7 linked regions of the Danio rerio genome follow. The protein of the gene in region 6 purifies or fractionates together with the protein of the main gene of each other region. This does not show direct contact. Links are inferred from orthologs where the notes say so. Each region holds a gene or a part of one and is shown on either strand. Other genes may lie near its edges. The genes, in order: chd4b, csnk2a2b, mcm4, mms22l, paf1, ssrp1b and chd1.

Region 1 (2,438 bases), on a different chromosome or scaffold from region 6:
CACTATATTGTTATGGGGATTGCTGTACCTTTGTGTAGAACTGCATTAGCAGGCTTGTTTCCTGACATAGACTCCTTGCTGAGATGCTGGTGTGACTCTGCCAGACACTCCACCTCACTGAAGCGCGTGTTCAGTGCCATTGAGGGGTGAGAAGGATCTTCAGTCATGTTTAAATACGCAGCACGTCTGAGCTGCTCCTCAATCACCAGAGCCTGTTCCAACAGCTAAAAGAGACAAATGGTCCTGTTGAAAGAGGAGCTAACAAATGCACCTCTGGGCAAACTTTAGCGGGCAGTTTCTGTACATCTCTGACCTTAAACCTGCGAGCAAGGAACTTGTTTTTAATCTCGAGGAAGTTCCCTCTGCTCATTTCTCCTTTAAACGGTTCATTGAGGATGGCGAACCTCGGGTCATTCTGCACATCCTGCCAGCGGGCATAACCATGGCTAATAGTACAAAGGTTAAGGACAATAGTTTTGAAAATAGTTCAGTTTGAAGATGAATATTATTCAAAAATAAACTAGCAGCAGTTACATATGAGATATATAATAAGTTGAAACCCACAGCTTTGTTGAAATATTCAATTCAATTCGATTCAGCTTTATTTGTATAGCGCTTTTACAATGTAGATTGTCAAAGCAGCTTTACATAAATGGTCATAGTAACTGGATCAGGGTAGTTCATTTTTTAGTGTTTAAGTTCAGTAAATATAAATTGTTAACCCTTGTACTCTTTAAATTGACTACCCCTTCGTTATTGTTTATGACTGTGTTTGCCACACTGACTTCCATTATAAAGACATTTTTTGATTGCAAAGGGATGGCAGCATGTAATCATGCATTCATGATTGTTGGTGGTTTTTCCTGTTGGGAAGAGGTAAAATGTGTAATTTTTACTGTTGACCATCAGTTGGCACCGTTAAGAAAAAGTGTCTGGCTTTTATATGGAATACTATTGAGTAGAAGAATGAGTGTAAATAGAGTAAAAAAAAACACACACACGAAAAAAAAATATATATATATATATAGTAAGAGTAAATACACTTACTATGTTTTTAGAGAAGAGTTGCTTATTTAGATTTTCTCAGACATATAAAGATAAGTGCGCAAAGGTCTCTCTTTCTCAAACACACATACACACACACACACACACACACACACTGTACTCCATATATAGATGCCAGAAACTATGCATTTTTGCACTGCAACTGATTAAAAAAAAAAAAAAACAGTAACAATTAAACATTTTACCTCTTTCCAACAGGAACATCAGCAACAATCAAGAATGCATGATTATATATTGTGTCATGGCTTTGCGATCAAAAAATAGCAAATGAGCAAAACAGCCACCATTATAACAAAAGGGTAGTATTAACCATAGTGTATTGTTTGGCATTTTTCCAAATCAATCCATTTGCTGAAAGTGAGAAAGTTGTGGCTAAATTAAGACTTAAAGTCACCCCAAAGTGGATGAAAACATCCACAACAGAACACAAGGGTTAAAGTGTAAAAGATTTTCTTTATAAAAACAGAGCTTAAAGTATCAAATAAATTGTTGGTCACACTTTACAATAAGGTTCATTAGTTAATGTTGATTAATGCATTTACTAACATGAACAAATAATGAACAATACATTTACTACTGTATTTGTTCATATTAGTCAATGTTAGTTAATGAAAATACAGCAGTTCATTGTTAGTTCATGTTAACTCATGGTGCATTAACTAATGTTAACAAGCATTGACTTGAATGTTAATAATGCATTAGTAAATGTTCAATTATGATTAATAAATGCTGTACGCGTGTTGTTCATTATTAGGTAATGTTAGTAAATGCATTAACTAATGAACCTTATTGTAAAGTGTTACCAGATTGTTTATAATGGCAATAATTGATTTAATCACTACATGTGTACACAATTTTTCGAATTTCAATAAAAAATTTCTTTATTAAAAAAAAATGGTTTGTTTCCCGACTTCTGACTTCATACTTTTATTTGTCATACAGTTTAGTTTTAATAGCCTGCGTTATTAAAAAATGCAATAATTAGGAATGAGTGTGCTTCCAAACTTCGACCTGGGACTGTATTCTAAATAACACAAACAATAAAATATATGTCTACCTCCTTTTAGTGAATCAAGCACTAATTACCAAAACGATAAATGTAATTTCACCAATAAGGATACAATATGATCCCAGCCAGGAGCCAGTAGTCATGGCGACGATGCCAGATCTCATAAGTCTTCTTGGTGACTGTAGCGGCTCTCTCTTCATTCTGCCAGAGTGAGTGCAGCTCTGCAGAGAGAAAAACAGAGAGTTCATTGATTCGAAATTGGCCAGCACATACACACACACACAGTAAATTCCCATCGTACCTGTGAAACCTCCATCAGCGATGTTAAACATGAACCTCTGCTTCACTGCTTTCTTTTTCTCCT
Region 2 (4,064 bases), on a different chromosome or scaffold from region 6:
TGAATCACAACTAAAATAACCATTAAAGTGTTATGTTAGTCAACATGATCAGTTCCATGAATGAAGACCTATATGAAAAATGCTATGGATGGATGGATGGATGGATGGATGGATGGATGGATGGATGGATGGATGGATGGATGGATGGATGGATGGATGGATGGATGGATGGATGGATGGATGGATGGATGGATGGATGGATGGATGGATGGATGGATGGATGGATGGATGGATGGATGGATGGATGGATGGATGGATGGATAGATAGATAGATAGATAGATAGATAGATAGATAGATAGATAGATAGATAGATAGATAGATAGATAGATAGATAGATAGATAGATAGAGATACTATGATTATGCAATAGACAAATGGACAGACAGACAGATATAGATAGAACGATAGATAGATGGATAGACGGCAGGCAGGCAGGCAGGCAGGCAGGCAGGCAGGCAGGCAGGACAGACAGACAGATAGATAGATAGATAGATAGATAGATAGATAGATAGATAGATAGATAGATAGATAGATAGATAGATAGATAGATAGATAGATAGATAGATAGATAGATAGATAGATAGATAGATAGATAGATAGATAGATAGATAGATAGTATGATGACAGAAAGATAAAATGATAGACAGATTGCAAAATATATAAATCAACATGGCTAGATAGACAAAATTAGATGGCTAGAACCATAGATAGAACGACAGACAGGCAGGCAGGCAGGCAGGCAGGCAGGCAGAGAGACAGACAGACAGACAGACAGACAGACAGACAGACATATAGATAGATAGATAGATAGATAGATAGATAGATAGATAGATAGATAGATAGATAGATAGATAGATAGATAGATAGATAGATAGATAGATAGATAGATAGAACATTAGACAGGTAGTATGATAGGCATAATGATAGACAGATTGCACGATAGATAAATCAATATGGCTAGATAGAAAATTAGATGGCTAGAACCAAAGATAGAACGACAGAAAGACAGACAGATAGATAGAAAGAACAACATATAGAACGGTAGATAGAATGACAGAAAGATAGAACGACAGATGATAGACAGACAGACACAAATGAAGATATTTTGAAGAATTTACGACTTCTATAGTACTTTAGTTCCTACTATGAATATTGCCAGTTTTTGAGTTCTTTCAAAACATGTTATCTTGTGTTCAACAGGAGAAACTCATAAATGTTAAGAACAAGCGTGAGTAAATGGTGACAGAATGCTCATTTTGGGTGAACTATACCATGATGAGTTCCTTAAATGTAGAATTACATGAAAAATGCTAAAGTATTATAATTCCATATTCTACGGGGGAAAAAACACAAAAAAAAAACCCTAATAAATAATGACAGCGCATTCATCAAGCTTGTAATTATATATGTGCACCGTGCAAAACAGAAACACATTAACTCCTTCAGAGGAATCCAACCATTAAAACCACTAAATGTTCTATTAGTGCACTGGTTTAGAATGGTAATTACTAGATGTGCATTGCACACTTGAGGGAATGAGTGCATTTGCATAAAATCTGTGGTTGCTGAAGAGGACACACACACACACAGCTCTCTCTAACGCTGCATCTGTAAATCCGTTCATGTCATCCTCTCATCATCATCATCAGCAGCAGCTCAAACAGGGGCTGCTCGATCGCAGATTGATGACTTTCCCAGCACGATCGATAGCGAACCTACAATGTGAACCACTGCGCAAAGGAAAGCAGCAGACACACGCAAAACGCGCACGGATATAGGCAGCTGGTTTTGAGACACACAACATTGGATGATGATGCACTCGGGCTTTTTATAGCTTAATCTCTCACCTCCAGGTGGGCACGTGGGCCTCATAGTCCCAGTATTCCCTGCTCTTCAAAGTGTTGACATCGGCATACACCCGAGACTTACTACCGGCCACCGGGCCGGGCATGGCGCGTGACGGGGCTCAGGGTGTACGAGAAATCTCCAAATCCAAACCAAAACACGCAAAAATAAAATAAAATAAGAGATAAACGCGCAAACACACAAACTCACACACACACAAACGAAAGATCAGCGATTATAGGCAGACCAGCCAGGAGATGTGATTGTATCCGATTGAGGCGTGCGATATCTGATAGCAGCGGCGGAAAAGATAAAGCGCGTTGGCCGCTGAGCAGCGCTCGTTCCCCGGCTTGTCAGCGGCGCTCTGACCGCCTGGAGCTCCGAGAGGGTTGAAAATGAATGGTGGATAGTCTGTGAAATGCTCCGGCAGTGCGAATGCGACGTCTATTTCCGATCTGAATGTGTTGAAGTTTTGTGAAAAGTTTAAAAATAGATAGTAGGCGGGGGGGTTTGTTTAAATCTAATTATTGTGGGTTAAACCCCCCCACCACCCCAAAGGGGCCCCAAATCCCTAAATCCAAAGCATAGAGAACCGAGAAGAAAAACAAAAAGCGCCAGGATGTGATTCCTCTCAGTCTGGAGTAAGTGGCGTTGCAAAATATAGTCCACGGTGAGTGAGTAGAATTTAACTAACCAGTGCCTAAGCTGGATATTGACTGGTTAGAGAGAGAGAGAGAGAGAGACGGAGAGAGAGAGAACGGGAGGCGGTGGACTCGAGATCGATGTTTAACTGATCTCCGCTAAAAACCGTGTCACAGTGACGTCGCGTGCGTAGCCGTTATGCAGGAATCGCGAAAAACGTTTATAATCCCGTGCAGTGCTGTGCTTGTTAGCGGGGTTCGGGTTTTCCGGACCAATCCCCCCCGTGCTGCTGCAGGAAAAAACGGACAGCTACGGTTTGACCCGGAAGCTCATGGTAGCTTTATCAATTAGCATCGAAAATCCGGAAGTACAAGTTGCTATGGCCAGTGGGCACGTCTGTCCGTTGCTATGCGCCCATATGTGAAACACTTCCGTTTGCACAACAGACTGACGCATGAACAACAGTCCCGTAGCCAGGCCAGGGGGAGGGCTCGGGTGGTTCGAAAGACGGTCAGGATGGTCAGGGTATATTCTGGCAAACCGCATCCAGAATTTGGATCATACGAGCTCATGTGTACTATTTTGAATGCTACGCCATCATACATTGTGAAAATAACCCATGCATTGAAAAAGGTTGTTGTGACTTCAGCTAATCAGTTTTAGCCAACACTAAAACTCCAGCTGTGCGAGAAACAATACACTCTGATGAAGTGAAGTCATCTTTTTGCTACTGTACTGTTTTTAAATAAAGAAAACATTGCACAAGTGACTTTTATTTTTGAAACAAAAAGTGATCGATTCGATAAAAAGGTGTGAAGCACCAGCAGCCTAATAATTTGAATACCAATTTTGCTTTTGTTGTTGTCCATGGTTTTCCAAATGTAGGCCTACTTTTTTACCAGAGAGACTACAAAAATCGTGAAGCTCTACATTATTATTATTAGTAGTAGTATATTGTGTTTTATTTTTATGTCATTCAAATGGCCAAATTCTTCTTTTTCTTTGGTTTTATTAATGCCACAAGAACAAGATATACATTTCACATAGCTTTCTGAAAGAGAAAAATATCGAAAATAAATAAATAAAAACACATTTACATGAAAAATGTTTTCAGAGCATTACATGTTTTCAGTGCTTTTTGTTTTGTGATTGTAATTAAAGATTTATATATAATTTGAAGTCATTCAGAAAATGGGAAAAGTTTGGTTTACACTGAGCCCACTTTTTCTTATGTATTTGGTATTTTCCTAACATAAACAAATTAAAAATATGTTGTCCTTTACAGTTCAAGTTCTCGTTATCAGAATAAAACAGCCCATCGAATAAACAAATTTCTATCTTATGCTTCATTGTTTTGTTAAAAAACAATTCCAAATATTTCTGAAATATTCTTGAGTAAATACAATGATAAAAAAGATCTATAATAGTTTCTTTTTCTTGACCACAAAGAAACATAATAAAACATAATAGTTTCAATGACTAATTTCTAGGGCAACGCTGTTGCGCAGTAGGTAGTGCTGTCACCTCACAGCAAGGTCACTGGTTCGAACATCGGCTTAGTTGGCGTTTCTGTGTGG
Region 3 (3,500 bases), on a different chromosome or scaffold from region 6:
TGATATTCCTGACACAATCAGTGATAGACTGACGGCAATAACTCACACTTACCCTAAACAGATCTAAATTGTTTCCTACAAAAATACAAGGTCGGTTATGTTTCACAGCTGTCTTCTTTTTTTTCTTTCGCTTGATATGAGAACTGCTCTGTTTAAGCCTTCACCATAGTAGTCATATAAAAAGCGAATAGGTCATGGGTTATTGTTCCCAAATTATGAATCTGAATTATGTAGAAGCACTGTCCATGCGTGTTTCCTCGTCGGTTAGTAACGCTTTATGTCATTGCACAACAATTAGCCTATCAGGCTTTTTGGCTAAAAAGAAAGAAATCCCCGTTTAATAAGTTATTATTAGATTATATTTAAATTTCACCTCTCCTGCTTTGCATGAACTAAGCTAGGCTAAGCTAGCTTCAATTTTGATTAAATTATTCTCTAACTGGTTGCCTATTATGTCGCGAATATACCCCTGTAATGCATAGTGCAGCCTATTTGTGCCTTTCTTTCTTGGATATCTCATTTGTTCGCCAAAATAGGACTAACTATATCCCTGGGAATGTCTGACACTGGCGCATACACATTGTAATAGACGTGCCAGGCACGAAAGCTTGACAGGCGTATTAACAGTAACTAAGGAAGGCAGAGCTTAGCAAAGGGTCAATTTGGTGCCGTGACCCGGATAGAGACTGAAATCAAGAAATTCCTCACCAATTTGGTGCTGTGACCCAGTGATAAGACTAAAATCACCAAAGTCTTACCAATTTGGTGCCGTGACCCTGATAGAGACTGAAATCTCCAAAATCTCACCAATTTGGTGCCGTGACCCAGGTATAGAGCATTAAATCACTAATTTCCAGCAGGTTCCTTACCTTCAGGATTGAGGTTGCGCATGTTTCTGGTTTTAATAGCGCTGTAGGGTCGCACTTGAATCTGATGCTCCAACACAGAGTCTGGAAAACGATCGAAGAAGAGCTCATTGACAGACATGTCGAAAGTGGGGATGACTTCCTGTGAATGGAAAAAGTTAGAAACTTTAGACAAAGTCACATTTTAATAAATCAGAGTTTAGGTTTTTGTAGGCATACACAGCACTGCAACACTTATTTGACTAAAAGCACAAATCGCTAATAATGAGAATTATCAAAACAATCTTTAATGTGATTTATTATTATAAACCTAAAGGAAACCTATTATGCCCTATTTTGCAAGATGTAAAATAAGTCTCTGATGTCCCTAGAATGTGTGTGTGAAGTTTCAGCTCAAAATACACACAAATAATGTTTTAGAACTCTTTAAAGCTGCCCGTTTAGGCTTTGATCCAAATTGTGTCATTTTTGTGAGTGTCGCTTTAAATTTAAATGAGACTGTACTCTTCTCAAAAGAGGGTGGAGTTTAAAAACACCTATGTCACCATAGCAGCAGATAACTCTAATGTCAGACGGCTGCTTCTCACTCAGGGCTGTTTATGCTAATGAGGGAGAGATGGTCACTAATGGGCGGGGCTTCCCCCCCTCTGATGACATGTACAAAGGATGAATGTCAATCAAAGTGTTTCTGTTGATTGTTTGATTATAAAAACTAAAACCCATTAAACTCATAAAACACATTTTTACCATTAGAAGCTGGTTATATTCACACAGTTACCACACAACTGTTTCTGTTTTTGCATAAAAGGTCTTCTTTAAAAGATCTTTTCTTATCATTTAAAGTCTGTGAAATCCAAATGTGTTCATTTTGCTAGTGCTATTGAGTGTTATTCTTTATGTGAACAATCAATCCGTGCAAGTAATCTTCAAAGTCTGGCCTAGAGCTGCACAATTAATCGTAAAAAGATCGCAATCTCGAATCGACCCCCTAGACCAGTGGTCACCAAACTTATTCCTGGAGGGCCGGTGCCCTACAGATTTTAGCTCCAACTCTAATCAAACACACCTGAACAAGCTAATCAAGGTCTTACTAGGTATACTTAAAACATCCAGGCAGGTGTGTTGAGGCAAGTTGGAGCTAAACACTGCAGGGACACCAGCCCTCCAGGACCGAGATTGGTGACCCCTGCCCTAGACGATCTTCATCCAGCATTTCTATGATTCTGCCAATCATATTTTCAAGTTCAGGGGAAAAGCAAAGGCGGCTGCACGAGTCTTTTCATTCTTTCACATACATTGCTCAGCAACATGGACACCTCCAAATGATGTTGAATGAGTCACATACTGTATTTATAAGGTATAATTCACCTAAAAATGTCATTTTTGTCTTCATATAATGCTGTATTCAAGGCCGGGAAATCAAATGTGACGTGAACTATAGTGCGGGTGTGTGCCCTACTTGCGCGTCTCCTTTAGTGAACAGAACTTGCTGTGAGTAACGGGTAATAAAATTGTAAATAATATTCCGTTTGTGGCACAGAGTGATCGCTTGGGTGCCGCGTGTGAAGTATGAACAGCACATGAAACCGAAAGTGTGCACTTTATTTAAATGATCATATCACATTTTAGAGTTATGACTGCGACAAGCATTTGATATGTTTTTCTTTTATAGCGAACACACAGTTGTGCATGAAAATAAATGTTTAAAGAGTCAGTATAACTACTCTAGCCTATATAATGTTGATTTTACCAGTGAATTAAACGGTCGAATAATGTTGTCAATGATTGCATGCATAGGCCTATATCTCAAACATAATTCAACATCAGAATTATTATAAGTAGAATGGAATTATTTATAGAAACCAGTAGACCTACACATAATACCAATATTGTTGTTTTACCATATGTTTGGGAAAAAACAATAATAATTGCCGACTCATAATAACCTTTATTTTACATCTACAGAATCGTGAGAGAATCAATCTTTGTTTTAACCCAAAAAAATAAAAAATAAATAAAATAAAAATGTAAAAAAAAAATTGCGATTCTCATTTTAGCCAAAATCGTGCAGCTCTAGTTTGGCCATTTGCTTTTCTAGTGGCGTCTGTTTGATGCTTTATGTACTTAACCACGCCCCTCTTACCATTAGTGAGGGAATGATGCGCAAAGAGAAAGCCCCGCCTCCTGCTCAATACTGCATTTCAGTTGGAAGTACATCAACATACTGATATGAAAATCTTTCAAGTAAAGCTAAATTGTGAATTGTCACATCACGCTTCAGAACTAATTCTGATGTGATGATATGGTGCTCAAGAAACATTTCAGATTAAATAAACAAATATTAATGCTGTGAGTATTTGATGTAATGAAAGTTCAAAAGAATCACATTTTTAACATTATAAAAGCCTTTACTGTCACTTGACCAATTTAGAGGACTTCCAGTATGCAGTTTGGAGAGTGAGATGTGTACGGGAGTCACTCCGTAAATTTGATCTAATTCAAACAGTTAAAAAGGACATTTTGGGCTTTTAATGATTTAAAGTGACGTCCACAATGGTAAAGATCTTTCAAATCCAGCTAGAACCAGCTAGTTTTCCTCATCAGTATGCCAAAACCCAAGCATGTTTCTCCTGA
Region 4 (3,416 bases), on a different chromosome or scaffold from region 6:
TGCCTGTATGTGTGTGAGACCGGGCAAAAGCGCTCCTTTACAGCTCTGTTATGCCGCGAGCAGCTTTTTTCTTTATTTATTTTGGAGACAATACACAATATAAATACAACAGAAAGACATAAAACTTAACAAATTATGTGCCCACTTTCGTAGACTTTAAACAATATAGTGTCATATCTTGATAAAATAGCCTGAGCTATATTGAAATATAATTTAAAGAATTACAAATATCGGATTTGACAGTCTTGATGAAAATTTGTGAGATTTTGTCAAATCTAGTGATTTCTAAAAGATAACATTTCACAGGAGGAATTGTAGTACTAGAATCACTTACAGAGACTTTTTTTCAGCTTTTGAGTGCTAAATTTAGAACCAATGACTTTAAGTTTAACACGCTTTTCAAAAACATCATGTGAATGGACCTTCATCTGGCATGTCCCCTGCCTACCTTGTGGTTCATTCACCAGCATTAAACAGCGCAGCACTGAAGGAAGGGGTATCGTGAGCAGGGCAGGATCTCTGTCACTGTTCCTTTTCAGGAGCTCCAACAGAAAACAGAGAACAGCTGCAAGTCGAGGAGGAGGAGCGAGACCTTTAAACTGGAGGAAGTTCTCTCTGCAGAAACAGAAACTATTGTTGAAAATCTGGACATCTGTTTCTCTAGGTGTAAACATGAAATCATGCTAAAAAAGAAGAGGAAAGACTTGCACCTCAGCACATGCAGAATGCTCTTCCTGAGTCTTTCACCCTGTGGACTGGGTGTAGATTCACAGGCCGCCAGCAGGACAGGATGATTGACCACTGCTCCAGTAGAGGGTGTGGCTGGGAGGAAGCGGCTAAGGTACTGTGAAATGACACTGTGCTGCTGCTGCTTCAGGTACGCCCCCTGAGAATGGGACACGCTCACTGCCACGGACAAACCCTAGAGATGCCAACACAATCTCAGTTAAGATCACAATTAACAATGACCTCAGGATTTCCTAAAAGATTGAGTATAAAGTGAGTATTGGATTAGGAGGCGCATTAACCTGCAGGAACATAGGCAGACTGTCTTTGAGGGCTGACAGCATTTGAGTGTGTGCAGCAGTGTCCTGTTGGAGGAGAGCGTGGGGCAGTAAAAGCACATCTACAATGCGGAAGAGCAGCTGCTGGGCTTTAGAGGTGGCCAATAGGTGGCTCCAGTGCTTGACCAAACAGCCTGAAAAATGTACAGTCACAATAAGTTTATAGTAAACATGAAGTTCGCCACCACAGGTTTGAGATGTACCAAATACTCATGAGAGAAAAAAAGCGCAATAAGTCATAATCTTGGGTGCGTTTATGAAAACCATTGCTAGCCACAAGTGCTAGTTCACAAGTTCAATCGTTACAAACATAAGCTGCGTCCCAAATGGCACACTATACACTCATGCACTATGTACTTATGCACTTACACACTCAACAGGATAGTATATGTATGTAGTGGTGTCCCAAATGGCACACTAATGTTTTTTTACTAAGTGGAAATTCAATTATCAAAGAATTATCAAATAATACCTGCCGTGAGTATTGCTGCATTCACCATCGGGAGGCGCTATAATCACTCTCGTAGGAGAATTTTGCTTTCACCATCCATAAAAAAATAATAATAATAAAATAAAAATAAAGTTATTCAACATGTGCGTCCGATAGCTCCGACCCTTCCGCTACGTAAGCAAACCTGCGGTCGTTGAGTGCGTGAAGTGTCCATCATTACACACTTCATTTTAGCGGCTGAATGAGTGCATCATCCGGGTAATTAAAGTGCACTAATTATTTTTAGAGTTTTCAGTGTGAACACACTACTTACACTATTTATACTACAAAATGGCGTAGAATAGTGCATAAGTATGCGATTTGGGACGCAGCTATAGTTCATTGATTTGTTGTTTCCCAAATCCATCATTCCAATGAACATTCACAAACTTGTACGCTTTCAATTACACCTCTAGAGCTGTAGTTAGAAGCATAGTTCCTGGTTGTGTTACAGTCCCAGTTATCTTCCCTATACCCTATTCCTTTCAAACATTCCATCATTTAAACTTAGAATGATAAACAAGCATTCAAGTAATCTCCCTTAGGTGTCATTTGCTTTAAATGTATTTTTAACAGTTTAGTTATAGCGATCTTCATATTGAAAATTGCAACCCATTCATAGTGCACGAAACCATTTATGCCATTTTGAACGCAGCCAAGGCTCATGACGAAGACTATAGATGTCCTATTATTTAAATGCAGAATTTTCACCTCCAAAGCTTTAGAAAACAAAAATATATAGCATACGCTAATGGTTTTAATTTATTAATTAGGAAATGTATCTGTACTGTATATGACATAGGCCTGTTGGTTACAACATATCTGCAGTGGTTTGAATGTGTCAAAGTTAAACAAAATAAATAAATTAATACATAAATAAAACAATATCCTACTTAATAATATAATAATAATAATTATTATAAACTATTATTATTATAAGGAGGATTTTTTTTTCATTTCTTAATAAATAGCCAACTGTAAATTATAACCATTAATGGTTTATATATGAGAGTAGAATACATGTTCGCTTTGGTTTTATGTTTTAGAATAGAATATATTTTCAATAGTATTTGTAATGGAAAGATATGGTCTATATGTGCTGTTTACATATATTTTAATTATGGAAAACGAGAGCATGATTTTCCCAAAACTAACACTGGAATTTTTTTAACGCATGTACGTGTAAAACAATATAACTTGCACAACATTTATTTGTTTTTTCTCCAAAGAAGTTGTTACCACCCCATTTAGAGTGTCCTTATAGATGTTTTATGTTATAACTAACATGATTCAAACAATGGATCTGCGACAAAGCAACTATCATTTTGGGAAACACGTCACTACATCGTTCTTTTCCCAAACAATGCATCGTACTATGGTAGTTTAGTTGCGTTGTTGTTTGAGAAACGCACCCCTGATTGGTTGAATTCTACTTTATATTTGTGTCATGCTCTTTAAAGGATGTCACACACCGGATGCGCCGCGACATGTCGCGCACATGACAGTTGAAAGTATCGCACACCAGACGTGCACATTCACATGCTATTTAAAATGAAACTAATCAAAATTACATCATGTCAAAAGACACTGACCTATGGTCCAGTACGCTAGGTGTAGGCCCTCCCGGCTCTTGTTCTGCAGGTAAGGCTTGATGTATTTAAGGATATCTCCTACATACTCCAATGCTCGAGACACTGCTGAAGAACGCTCAGAAAGAAGCTGGAGCTCACAGTAGGATCGGCCCACAGCCTGACAAACAACAAACACAGTATTTACAGGATGAAATACAGCAAGGCTTATATATTAGAGCTTGCGGTTTGAGACTGTACCTTGAGGAACACTGCCATCGCAGCTTTGGGGTC
Region 5 (3,950 bases), on a different chromosome or scaffold from region 6:
TAATGTCAGAGAGGTCAAAGGTCAGACAGGTGTCACTCACTTGACTTCCACCTTCTCGTTGGAGACGCCGTATCTGTTGAACTCAGTGGAGATGTACTCCGTCTTCCTCATCCACGGCACCACCTTCGCATGCTGCTGTGACCTAAACACACACACACACACACACACACACACACATATTATATACACAAACAGGCACACATTGCACACACACGTACACACATTATATACACCACGACATACACGCACATTAAACATGCAGATGTAGATAACACACAAATGCAGACAAACACATGCAGAGATCAGAAACACACACACACACACACACACACACACACACACACACACACACACGTATTACACATCAATATTTACACACCAAAACACATGCAGATGAAGAGACACGTACTATGCACAAAACACAATACACCTATAACACACATACACACACACGCATTCATGCACACACACAAACAAACAAACATTTATACACACACACACACACACACAAACACACTCAAACATTCATACACACAGAAACAGTCATGCACGCACACACACAGGTTATACACACACACGCAAACATACATGCAAAAACACACACTCAGGTTTTATATATACATACACACAGGAACACATGGAGATGAACACACACACACACAAACACACACAAAACAGGTCAAAGGTCAGCTGATAGCTCTCTCTCTCTCTCTTACCTCTTTGAGCTGGATGGAGCCTGGATCTCCTCCTCCAGCAGCTTCTCATCAGCAGGATCCAGCAGAACTGAGACACACACACACACACACACACACACACACACACACACACACACACACACACACACAGGTCAACCGCTTTACATATTGCTGAACAGAAAAGCTCGTTAAATATTAGACGACCATTTAATATCAAAAACATTCAGACTTAAAGTTTCATGTTAAAGTGTGTGTGTGTGTGTGTGTGTGTGTGTGTGTGTGTGTGTGTGTGTTCTCACTGTTGGGGTCGATGCGGTATGTGTCTGGGTTGATGAGGTCGATGGTGACGCCCAGATCCGGCTCGGTCAGCAGCTCATGCTTGTGCTGTTTCTCCAGGGATGTGGCTTTATACTGCACAAACCTGAAACACACACACGCACACACACACAGTCACCACACAAAGCCCAGGCCTTCAGAACGCTGTGTGTGTGTGTGTGTGTGTGTGTAAGAACCCCACCTGTGCTGGTCAAACGGATAGGTGATGAACTTGGGGTCAAACGGGATGTCCGGGAGACTGTTTCCATACTTGACTCTGCACACCACACCAGACCTGCAACACGCACACACACACACACACACACACACACACACACACACACACACACACACACACACACACATACACACACATACACACACACACACACACACACACACACACACACACACACACACACACACACACACACACACACAGGGACTGAAAAAGGCATTACAGAGCTCTCCCACAGTCAGCCATTGGCCAGACAGGCAGATGGCCCCGCCCCACCCTCACACCATTGGCTGAGTCAGATGTCACTTAAACACACAATCCTGCAGCACATCACAAAAGCATGCCTCCATTATAAATCTTAGCTAAATATTGAGTAATTTTTTCAAAAATTATGTTAAAAAAAGTGCTTCTGTTTCACGACTAAAATCAAAAGATGTAATTCCCAAAACTGCCTGGGATGCGCACTCCAGAATCTGCCCGGAAGTAGAGTCATCCGAGCACTTCTCACATACTGATTTTCCAATTCTATGAATTCGGACACTACTGATTTTAGCGTGCTATATAGTATGGAAGTATGCGGTTTCGGACGCAACCCATATCGTTTACAGTCATTGGTTGTGGAGCAAAGAAATTGAATATTAAAGTAGTGAACAGTGGGCGTGGCTTGTTTTCTCTACAGCGAGCTGATTGGATGTGGTAAAGTAGGCGTTTCATTCAGAAACATTGGGAAGAAGGTTTGAGGAGAGTTATTACAACCTAACAGACTCCTCCTCCTCACCATTTGTTGTCAGTGATAACAGTGAAAGGGGCGTGGTTAAGAATGTTAGCCCCACCCCACACCTCAGACTGACGCAATCTGAGAATTTCCAGATTTCAATTTTAGATTACAAGCCGCAAACTTGTTTCTGAATGACCTGCACAGAGGAACTGTTCAGCACAGAACCAGCAATGCGAGCGAACAACATCAACAAGGCTACTTTTGATTTCATGAGTACTCTAATCGCGTATTAGTGTTCATATCGCAAAATAAATAAAGAAAAAAACTAAATAAATAAATGACAGAACATCTCGCACTGTATTTCCCCCAACATCACGCAGACGGCCTTCACTGATCAATGAGCTGAATAGCGGTGGTGAGTTTACCTCTCTGGAACAGTCCTGTGTGCTGAACTCCTGCAGAAACACACATGAACATACCATCAGGAGACATTCATAAGCGCACAGTGTCCTGTTAGACTGCTCTACATGTGTGTATATCAGCTAGCGTGCTCTTAGACAGCTCTACATGTGTGTGTGTGTGTGTGTGTGTGTGTGTGTACATCAGTTTAACTGCTCTGCTGATGATAAGAGTGCGCGCTCGCGTGTTTATTATGGTTTATTCCTCTCACCGGTGTCCGTCCTCCCGCTGCGCCTGCGTCTGTATGGTAGGAGCCATGGAGGAGCAAAAACACGCGTCCCGTCAGCACTGATGATCGATAAACAACAAAGACACACACACAAAAATGAAGACTTCTGATCAGTTTATCGACAAAACAGCGGCGCGCGAGTCTGTGTGTCACTTCCGGCCAGCAGACGAGAGCAGCAGCAGGACCCTGAGCGGCTGCCCGATCACAGCCTGAGCAAAACTCACCGCTCTGGGACTCAAAATTAAAGCGATAATCATGTATTAACACGTTCAAAAACTGTTTCCATGAAGTAGAAACTGTTTTGAGGATTTATTACATCATAGAGGCGTGTGGTTTCAGTGAGTTCGCGTAAAACTAAACCCATATGTAAACTTTTAAACATTATCAAAGTTTTGTTATTAAATCGTGGTATTATATACTTTACTCCCTATTAAAAAAATTATTATTCGAATAGAATATGAACCATAAATAAAAACATAATTTTACAGTATAATCAGAGCTGAACATTTGTTACATTTACATGATTTTCAACTAAATGGTTATAATTTATGTGTATTATATTAGTTACAACTCTTTCGTGCTGTAGTATCAACTAGGGTGAACGGATAAACTGTAATAGGTACTGTAGCGTACTTTAGTTTTTACTACAGCAAACTGTGGTGTTTTGTAGTATAATATACTGTATAGCTCTAGAAAACCACAGTAATGGCTCATTTGCTCATGTCGCTGTAGCTCTTATGTTACCATAGCGACTGTAGAATCACCACAACAGATTAATTACTGTAGTTGTCGTGTTACCATAGCAACCGTAGAATCACATCAGACCAATACTATAATTGTTACCATAGCAACTGAAGAACCACCAAAACAGATCAATTACTGTAGTTGTCATATTACCATAGCAACCATGGAATCACAACAGACCAATACTATAATTATGTTACCATAGCAACTGTAGAATTACCAAAACAGATTAGTTACTATAGTTGCTGTTACCATAGGAACTACAAAATCACCACAACAGATTAATTACCGTAGTTGTCGTGTTACCATAGCAACCATGGAATCACAACAGACCAATACTATAATTCTGTTACCATAGCAACTGTAGAATAACCAAAACAGATTAATTACTGTAGATGTTGTTACCATAGCAACTGTAGAATCAACCCCAACAGATTACTGTAGTTGTTGTTGTTACCATAGCAACTGCAGAATCACCACAACAGATAATTACTGTAATTGTTGTTGTTACCATAGCAACTGTAAAATTAACCCCAACAGATCAATCACTGT
Region 6 (4,108 bases):
TGGTTGCATGTGCCTCTAAAGCATTTGCACACTTTAGGACCATAGTGATATGGAATGATTTCTGCTTAAAGATGCATGTTAACACACAGAACAAAATACTATCTGACCTGCTTTCGGTGGTGAAGGAGACTTGCTTCTCTTGCCTCCTCTCCTTGCCTTCTTCACAACCTTAAAGGTGTCGGTGATGAGGCCACGCTTTGGTGTCATATCTGAAATAAAGCAAACAATGAGCAATACATATGCTACAGTATGTATGTAACTTCAATCAATGAACTATCGATAAATGGTAATGCATTAAAATGAATATATACTTTGAAAGTGTTTTCAGTTATACAATAATTAAAGAGATAGTTCACACAGAATGAAAATTCCTAAACTTTTGTTCTGTTGCACACAAAAGAAGATATTCTGAAGAATGTTGGAAAAATTATCAAAAACAAGTCATAGGCTGTTTTTTATTTCAACATTCTTCAGATTATCTTGTTTTTGTTTAACAGAAGAACGAATCTCAAACAAGTTTGGAACAAGTGAAGGATGAGTAAATGATGACAGAATTTTCTTTTTTTGGGGTGAACTATCCCCTTTAAGAGTCTTTGTTCCAGTGTTTTTACACACACACACACACACACACACAAAAAAAAAACTATATTTAACTTATTATAATAGTATATGTTTAAGAAAAGGGGTTGGTATCAGTTTATCATGCGTAATTATAAATAATTCACTGTTATTACTTTAGTAAGTACAAGGCACATGTAAACAACAGTTTCAGTATTTTCATTGTTAGTACATGTTAACTAACGTGTTAGCTTCCTAGTTTAAACGTGATGTAGCATAATAAGATATATCAACAAGTTAAATCGAGGTAAATACATAATGTTGTAACGTCAATAATGTTGTAAATACTCTGGCTGTGAGAGCACAAAGAGCAGGACATGCAAATACTATCTTACTAGATGCTTTCGGTCTAAAACATAAAATAAGCAATGCATTCTGTGTAGCATTTCATTTTAATTTCTAAATAAATTGCATTAAAATCACCAGTAAAGGCGATCTTTATTTATTGATCCATCGAACAACAGTGCTTGAAACACTACTGTCAAAAAAGTATATCTGAAATATATTGCATACCTGGACGCTGATAGGATATCGTCATATGATAAATTATTTGTAAATGTTGACAGCAGCAGTCTTCATCAATAAAGCCTTTTAACTTTCCCTTTGTGTTTCGATCGTTTACAAAACAGACTGACGTTCGATAGGCAGGGCTGAGCCACGCACACTGCGCGATTGCGTCATGACGAAGGCGTTCCTGCGCGCCGCACATCTACGCTCACGGGACTCGGCCTTGATCCTCTCGCCGAATAACAGTAATACTCATTCAAATTTCTCGCATATTTCATAACATATGCAACAAAAGCGTTCGAAATGTACTAAGCCTGCTGTAAATTTGCTGTAAATTTGCAAACGTGTCGTTCGTCACAAAAGCCGCTGTTTGATGCCTGAACGCCAGCTTTGCTAGCTTTATTTGTTTATTATTAGACATCATCTCGCTGTGCAGCCACAAAATAATAACACTCGCAAAAGCTTTTCTTAAAGCACAAAGCTAGATTTTTACATCCAAAACAACCTATAATAAAAGTCTACTGTTGACACCAGAGTAAACTGGGAGTTTTCTATCATTCATAACACATTCATATTGCCATTTGCAGTGGAAATTGTATAATGTATAATGTATATTAATAACTGTCGCAGCTTTTAAACGTCACAGGTCCATTCTGTCTACTCTGACATGAGTGACACTTTGGAGTTCAATGAAATTTATCAGGAGGTCAAGGGCTCATGGGTGAGTTAAAAAAGGTTTTGTTCTCTAACTTGAGGTGTTTTTCTATCAAACTCTCAATAAAGTTGACCGACTGTCTTTTCTTGTAGAATGACGGCCGCCTGCGCTTCAGTAAGCAGACAGTGGTGTATAAAAACAGTAAGACCGGGAAGGTGGACACTATTCCGGTCCCTGAACTCACTCAGGCCCAGTGGAGGAGAGTCTGTCTGGGTCACGGCATCAAACTATGGACCAGCACTGGCCACATCTACAAATATGATGGCTTTAAAGACGCAGTGAGTCTGAGATGCAAATTACAGATCAATTGATCACTCAGTTTGATCCGCTGTTTCATTCCAGGTCTTAAATTTTCATCCGTTTCTTTTTGCGCAGGACCTTGAGAAGATCTCAGAATACTTCAAAGACAACTACAAAGTGGAGCTAACAGAGAAAGACATGTGTGTTAAGGGCTGGAATTGGGGCACTGCTAAATTTAATGGTCAGTGCATTCCTGTTGCAACGCTTTTTGTCTGAGATATTCAGTTAAAGTCAGAATTATTAGCCATTCTGAATTATTAGCCCCCCTGTTTATTTTTTCCCCCAATTTCTGTTTAACAGAGAGATTTTCTCAACACATTTCTAAACATAATAGTTTTAATAACTCATTTCTAATAACTGATTTATTTTATCTTTACCATGATGCCAGTAAATAATATTTAACTAGATATTTGTAAGACACTTCTATACAGCTTAAAGTGACATTTAAAGGCTTAACTAGGTCAATTAGGTTAACTAGGCAGGTTAGGGTAATTAGGCAAGTTATTGTATAGTGATGGTTTGTTCTGTAGACCATCGGACACAAATAGCTTAAAGGGGCTAATAACTTTGTCTTTGAAGTGTTTTTAAAAAATGTAAAACTGCTTTTCTTCTAGCCAAAATACAACAAATAAGATTTTCTCCAGAAGAAAACATTATCAGACATACTGTGAAAATTTCATTGCTCTGTTTTAACAAACAGGTTTGTTACTAGAATGGTCAGGCAGGCAACAGTCAACAGGGTAAAACAGATACATACAGAGAATCCAGAGTCGTGGTCATAGAACAGGCGAATGGTCGGAACAAGCAGCAAAGAATCAAAACAAAGAGACAAAGGGTTAAAACACAGCTAGGCTAAACAGGGAGAAAACACGTCGTAATGCTCACAGATAAACAAGACTCAAAAAAGTGTGTGTGTGTGTGTGTGTGTGTGTGTGTAATCAACAGAGAACTGGAACAGGTGTGTGTGAGGTGCATGACAGGATTCGTTGGTCTAGATCGCTGGTGATTGTGACAGTAGTGACCTTAAACACTGTTTTTTAGTATGTTTGTCTTCCAAAAGTATGGAGCAAATAATATGGAAAAACAATCTGAATTTAAATTGTGCAAATTTGAATCACAATAGCAATTGTAATTTAATAAAATTTAATATTAAATGCTATTAAACTGTTTGAATTTGAATTTCTTAACTTGAATATTGAACATCTGAAATTTAAGACAACTGAATTTTTTCAGATTTCTATTGACGTATTTTCAAACTTCAGATTTTTTCGTTCTAAATTTATAGATTGCAGATATTGAGCTTGTGAAAATACAGTTTTGAGTTTTCAAGATGAAGAAATTCAGAGCATCGAATTCAATATTTTAAATTTTAAAACCAGAAAATCAGATTGTGAAATTCAGATTTAGCAAAAAGTAGGTCAGGGGTCATCAACAGTGAAGAAAATTCAGATTGTTTTGGCATATTATTCGCTCCATATCAAAGAACCTTTCGATGAACATATCTTTAAAGCTTTTTAATAATCAAAAGCAAAATAACACTATAAAAATAGGTTTCTTGTATGTTATGTATGGTGATGTGAATCGGTAATTGTAATTAAAATGTTTGATTTTTTTAACTAATTATAAAAATGTAATAAATACAAAAATACATATTATTAAACATGATGTAGCTAATTCAAGGTAAATACATAATGTTGTAGTGTAAATGTTGTAAATACTCAGGCTGTTGGAGCACTAAGAGCAGGACATACAAGATGTCTTACAAGATGTTCTCGCCTCGCCTTTTCGCCAGCTGACTTTATTGTAAGACAAAATAAGCAATGCATTCTGTGTAGCATTTTACTTTCAATTGTAATTACAATTTGCTTTAGATTTTTTTCAATTAATTATAAAAATGTAATAAGTCCATAAAATATATATTATTGTGATACTATTGCACAGTATATAACAGTAATATTATTTTTATAA
Region 7 (3,500 bases), on a different chromosome or scaffold from region 6:
GGACCTAGTTAAAAACCAGACAGATCAGCCAGCATAATAGAGAGGAGCAAATCGCATCAAGTGATCATTATTTAAAAGAGGATAAAAGAAAAATAGATTAAATATATTAATTTATATTAGACACACATCTGGTGCTTGTATTTACTCCTCCTATACGTCCACAACTTCACGCATTGGGTTAAATGAGGCTTTACAGTATCCATGTTCAGTCCTTTTTCTTCCACTGCATCTTTTTAAAAAAAAGGCAGCAGCATTACAACCTGTCATTCAATCAGAAGACAAAGTTAAAGCGGAGCTGACTGCCAATATTTCCTAGGCTCAGCAAAACTAGCAAAAATACCTCTGTATTCCTGCAAGTGCAATATTTACAAAAATATTTCTTAATCAAATCTTCAGCAACGCTTTTGAACTTGTGAATTTGTTTTACATTTATTTACACCTTGACCGATTTCTGTATGACATGGCCATTAAAAATACAATGTTCCTTCACCAGATGGTTTTTCAAGTTACTTTTAAAGAGAATGTTACTTCAGTCATGTTGTTGTAATGTTTTGAGAAGATTAGTAACACAATAAAAAAAAAAAAAAAAATCGAAATCGGTCAAACTTTATAAAAAAATAGATTTTTTTTTTGCTAAATCGCCCAGCCCTAGCTCACACATACACTCTGCACTACTTCAATATTGTTGACAAGCCGTGCTGGACATTTCACTCTGTCTCACGCTGAACGCTGCCGACCAATCGCAACAGACTGTCATCAGTCCAATCAGTCCAGATTAGCATCGCACTAAGGAGGGGTTTGGGAACAAATGAATCACTGAACGAATCATATGGGAGTCTCTGGGATAATTATGTAAAGATAAATGCATTTTATAAGACAATGAAAGTGTTTTTTGACCTTGCATGCATATCAGCCTGTTGTTGGAGACCCCCAAAATCAAAATATGAACCTTTTTAATGTATAATAGGGGCTCTTACCATTACCAGAGAATTTTACTTTTCATTAAGACCACAAAGAATCATATCAACTTGTGTAAAATAAGCATCTGATGAATCACCTTTAATGTCTCTCTGTACTGTATTCTATATGAATGTGGTTGTCTTACTTGTAGTATTGTTTCTGAACCGCGCTCATCTCCACCCGGAGGATCTGTTCCACCTTGGCAGGCAGAGATTTCTCCACATCCTTCTTTACTCTGCGCAGCAGGAATGGCTCCAGCTCCTTATGAAGGCTTGTGTAGCCCGAATCCCTGCCTTTCCCATGTTCCTCTTCAAACATCTCCCACGAGTGAAACCTGCCAACATGATGGTTTATATCAGTGACATCTGACTTGCATGCTGTATTAAACCAATACAAGAAAGAGGTTAGCTCTTATCTCTAGGGTTTCTCAGCACTAACCACTTAAAAATAAACACAAAAGACTAAAAGAGCTTAAGAAATACCACATGAAAAGTTCGCCTGCGTGTAGAAGCACTTCTAAAATAAAGCCTGTGGCTACACTGGGAACTGAATAACAAAAGCTGACTGAAATCATGAGAGAACACCTACTTTTCAGGCATGATGAAGTGTAGCAGAGACCAGAGCTCTTTGAGGGAGTTCTGGAGGGGTGTGCCAGTGATCAGGAGCCTGTGATTGGACTTGAACTCTATCATAGTCTTGTAGAGCAGAGAGTCATCGTTCTTCAGCCGATGGGCCTCGTCTACACCAATGAACGCCCAGCTTACATTTCCTAAAAATGACTACAAGAGGAAAAAAATGTTACATACAATAACCAGAGTTCACATTTAAAAGGCGCAGCATGCAAGTTTAACACTCAGTGGTTGAACTAGGTGTTGTCAGATACCTAGCAGGATGTCAGATTGACGACACCAACAACGTAAACTCACATTTTCAAAGCAAAATAACTGACTTCTGCATTGTTTAAATGATAAACAATAAGGTTCAACTAGCATGTTTCTTAAAAATCTGCAAACGTACGGTTAATTTATGCTTCAGACGAGTCAAAAACTTACATACAGCACCTTTCAAGCCACAACTTTCACTGATTAAAAAGCTGAATCTCCAGGACATCTAATGAATGAAAAACATAGCTACTATGAGAATAACAGTGGATAGTACTTATTGTTTGCATGGCTGTGAAGTGCTCCCTCTACCATGTTTGGTTTCATCATCAGATAGTTTAACAAAATGTATATGTAGCTTTTATATTGCATACTTTTACACTCAGCATTTGAAGTGGTCATCTGGAAGCCAAATCTCTTAAAATGTCTTTTATCCTAGGCATGTTAACTTTGGTAAAGATACAGTGACAAGGTACAGCGAGGTAAAAAATAGTGATAAATAGGTGGGGGAAAAAAATAGCTTATCCATAACAATACAGAGCTTATTTATAAATACATATACATACTACAGGTGGGCATAGACTAATTTTTTAATCTAGATTAATCTCACTGTAATCTTGGATAAAATCTAGATTAAAATGGTTCATTTGAATTCTGCCGAAGGTGTTGAGAATGTGTGCTACCCAAATAATGACTAAAGGTAAGTCTTTGAGAATGGGTTCTTCAAGCCAGGTGGCGCATTAGACCAGGGGCTCATCTCCTGTTTCCAAAATGCTTCACAAACTGCTTGAGAATCTGTTCTACTATGATTATTGGTGATGAAAATAAATGATGTTCAATAAGGTGTACTTGTGTTTACTAACTGTTTATTCAGTTAAACATGAATTTTGAACTGTAGGCCTACATAAGCTCCAAACAGCCATTTTTGATTACTTTAATCCGACTGAAGTCAAAACTGAACTAAACAAAAATGGAATTAAGACATGTGGAGTATGCAGATATTAGTGGCATTATTGAAGTAAACACCGCAATCAAACTATTACCGTCATGTAGGACTTTGCCATATTTTCCAACAAGATCCACACATGCGGCTGTCAGTAAATGGCCGCAGACACACACACATTGCGAAATGTGGAAGTTTTTTCTTTCCATTTGGCGTGCGTTATTAAACTCATAACACTCTCACCAGTCCTTACTCCTTATTGATGTCTTATACCCCAGTTTGTCACAGGGGCATGGATGAAGTGTTCATGAGTGAATGTGAAACTGCCGAACTGCAGGTAAAGTCACCAAAAATTACACGAAAATCTTACATGAAAGCACGTCACGTAAACACCTTAATTATATTAGTGTCTATTACAGCAAATAACTAGATTACAAATGTCCATGTAAGCGTAGTCAGTATGTCTTCGAAGTGAAAGATTCAGAAGGGCATCCAGCTGATTTGATTCTTTTTTCTCACAGGCTTAACTTTCATTCATTTTATAAAGCACCCGGCCCATTTTATGTGTATATGTTTTACTCGAACGCGTAAACTCTACAGGTGCCTGATAGTTAAAGCTAACATTAATCAGATTCACTCTAGTCAACTGCATCCATGTTAGCACGTCATGTTTGATGTGATAATTTCACAGTAGGAATACACACAGATTCGAAGAC

What was found.
Region 1: the proteins of ssrp1b (region 6) and chd4b purify together in Homo sapiens (affinity purification with mass spectrometry; 3 studies listed by BioGRID and IntAct, with this or other methods). This does not show direct contact. The link is inferred for Danio rerio from reciprocal best matches to the Homo sapiens genes SSRP1 and CHD4.
Region 2: the proteins of ssrp1b (region 6) and csnk2a2b purify together in Homo sapiens (affinity purification with western blotting; 3 studies listed by BioGRID and IntAct, with this or other methods). This does not show direct contact. The link is inferred for Danio rerio from reciprocal best matches to the Homo sapiens genes SSRP1 and CSNK2A2.
Region 3: the proteins of ssrp1b (region 6) and mcm4 purify together in Homo sapiens (affinity purification with mass spectrometry; 4 studies listed by BioGRID and IntAct, counting the BioPlex papers as one, with this or other methods). This does not show direct contact. The link is inferred for Danio rerio from reciprocal best matches to the Homo sapiens genes SSRP1 and MCM4.
Region 4: the proteins of ssrp1b (region 6) and mms22l purify together in Homo sapiens (affinity purification with mass spectrometry; 3 studies listed by BioGRID and IntAct, counting the BioPlex papers as one, with this or other methods). This does not show direct contact. The link is inferred for Danio rerio from reciprocal best matches to the Homo sapiens genes SSRP1 and MMS22L.
Region 5: the proteins of ssrp1b (region 6) and paf1 fractionate together in Homo sapiens (co-fractionation; 3 studies listed by BioGRID and IntAct, with this or other methods). This does not show direct contact. The link is inferred for Danio rerio from reciprocal best matches to the Homo sapiens genes SSRP1 and PAF1.
Region 7: the proteins of ssrp1b (region 6) and chd1 purify together in Homo sapiens (affinity purification with mass spectrometry; 3 studies listed by BioGRID and IntAct, with this or other methods). This does not show direct contact. The link is inferred for Danio rerio from reciprocal best matches to the Homo sapiens genes SSRP1 and CHD1.

Annotation. Positions count from the first base shown.
Region 1 is NC_133191.1:34,957,595-34,960,032, forward strand, and holds part of chd4b (chromodomain-helicase-DNA-binding protein 4), read right to left. Parts: coding exon 2,376-2,438; intron 2,296-2,375; coding exon 2,187-2,295; intron 447-2,186; coding exon 314-446; intron 225-313; coding exon 29-224; intron 1-28. UniProt on the Homo sapiens protein: ATP-dependent chromatin-remodeling factor that binds and distorts nucleosomal DNA. Acts as a component of the histone deacetylase NuRD complex which participates in the remodeling of chromatin.
Region 2 is NC_133200.1:14,587,696-14,591,759, forward strand, and holds the start of csnk2a2b (casein kinase II subunit alpha'), read right to left. Parts: upstream 2,801-4,064; 5' UTR 1,952-2,800; coding exon 1,848-1,951; intron 1-1,847.
Region 3 is NC_133199.1:39,267,970-39,271,469, forward strand, and holds part of mcm4 (DNA replication licensing factor MCM4), read right to left. Parts: intron 1,009-3,500; coding exon 870-1,008; intron 1-869. UniProt on the Homo sapiens protein: Acts as a component of the MCM2-7 complex (MCM complex) which is the replicative helicase essential for 'once per cell cycle' DNA replication initiation and elongation in eukaryotic cells.
Region 4 is NC_133191.1:35,484,937-35,488,352, forward strand, and holds part of mms22l (protein MMS22-like), read right to left. Parts: coding exon 3,384-3,416; intron 3,304-3,383; coding exon 3,147-3,303; intron 1,199-3,146; coding exon 1,029-1,198; intron 923-1,028; coding exon 711-922; intron 616-710; coding exon 449-615; intron 1-448. UniProt on the Homo sapiens protein: Component of the MMS22L-TONSL complex, a complex that promotes homologous recombination-mediated repair of double-strand breaks (DSBs) at stalled or collapsed replication forks.
Region 5 is NC_133190.1:51,599,024-51,602,973, forward strand, and holds the start of paf1 (RNA polymerase II-associated factor 1 homolog), read right to left. Parts: upstream 2,801-3,950; 5' UTR 2,684-2,800; coding exon 2,637-2,683; intron 2,422-2,636; coding exon 2,392-2,421; intron 1,306-2,391; coding exon 1,213-1,305; intron 1,117-1,212; coding exon 995-1,116; intron 784-994; coding exon 717-783; intron 143-716; coding exon 41-142; intron 1-40. UniProt on the Homo sapiens protein: Component of the PAF1 complex (PAF1C) which has multiple functions during transcription by RNA polymerase II and is implicated in regulation of development and maintenance of embryonic stem cell pluripotency.
Region 6 is NC_133176.1:47,969,413-47,973,520, forward strand, and holds the start of ssrp1b (FACT complex subunit SSRP1), read left to right. Parts: upstream 1-1,308; 5' UTR 1,309-1,370; intron 1,371-1,755; exon of another isoform or gene 1,756-1,771; 5' UTR 1,772-1,792; coding exon 1,793-1,846; intron 1,847-1,932; coding exon 1,933-2,118; intron 2,119-2,215; coding exon 2,216-2,321; intron 2,322-4,108. Other genes in the region: pold4 (DNA polymerase delta subunit 4), read right to left, coding at 108-209, 1,132-1,156. UniProt on the Homo sapiens protein: Component of the FACT complex, a general chromatin factor that acts to reorganize nucleosomes. The FACT complex is involved in multiple processes that require DNA as a template such as mRNA elongation, DNA replication and DNA repair.
Region 7 is NC_133185.1:7,058,563-7,062,062, forward strand, and holds part of chd1 (chromodomain-helicase-DNA-binding protein 1), read right to left. Parts: intron 1,740-3,500; coding exon 1,549-1,739; intron 1,295-1,548; coding exon 1,106-1,294; intron 1-1,105. UniProt on the Homo sapiens protein: ATP-dependent chromatin-remodeling factor which functions as substrate recognition component of the transcription regulatory histone acetylation (HAT) complex SAGA. Regulates polymerase II transcription.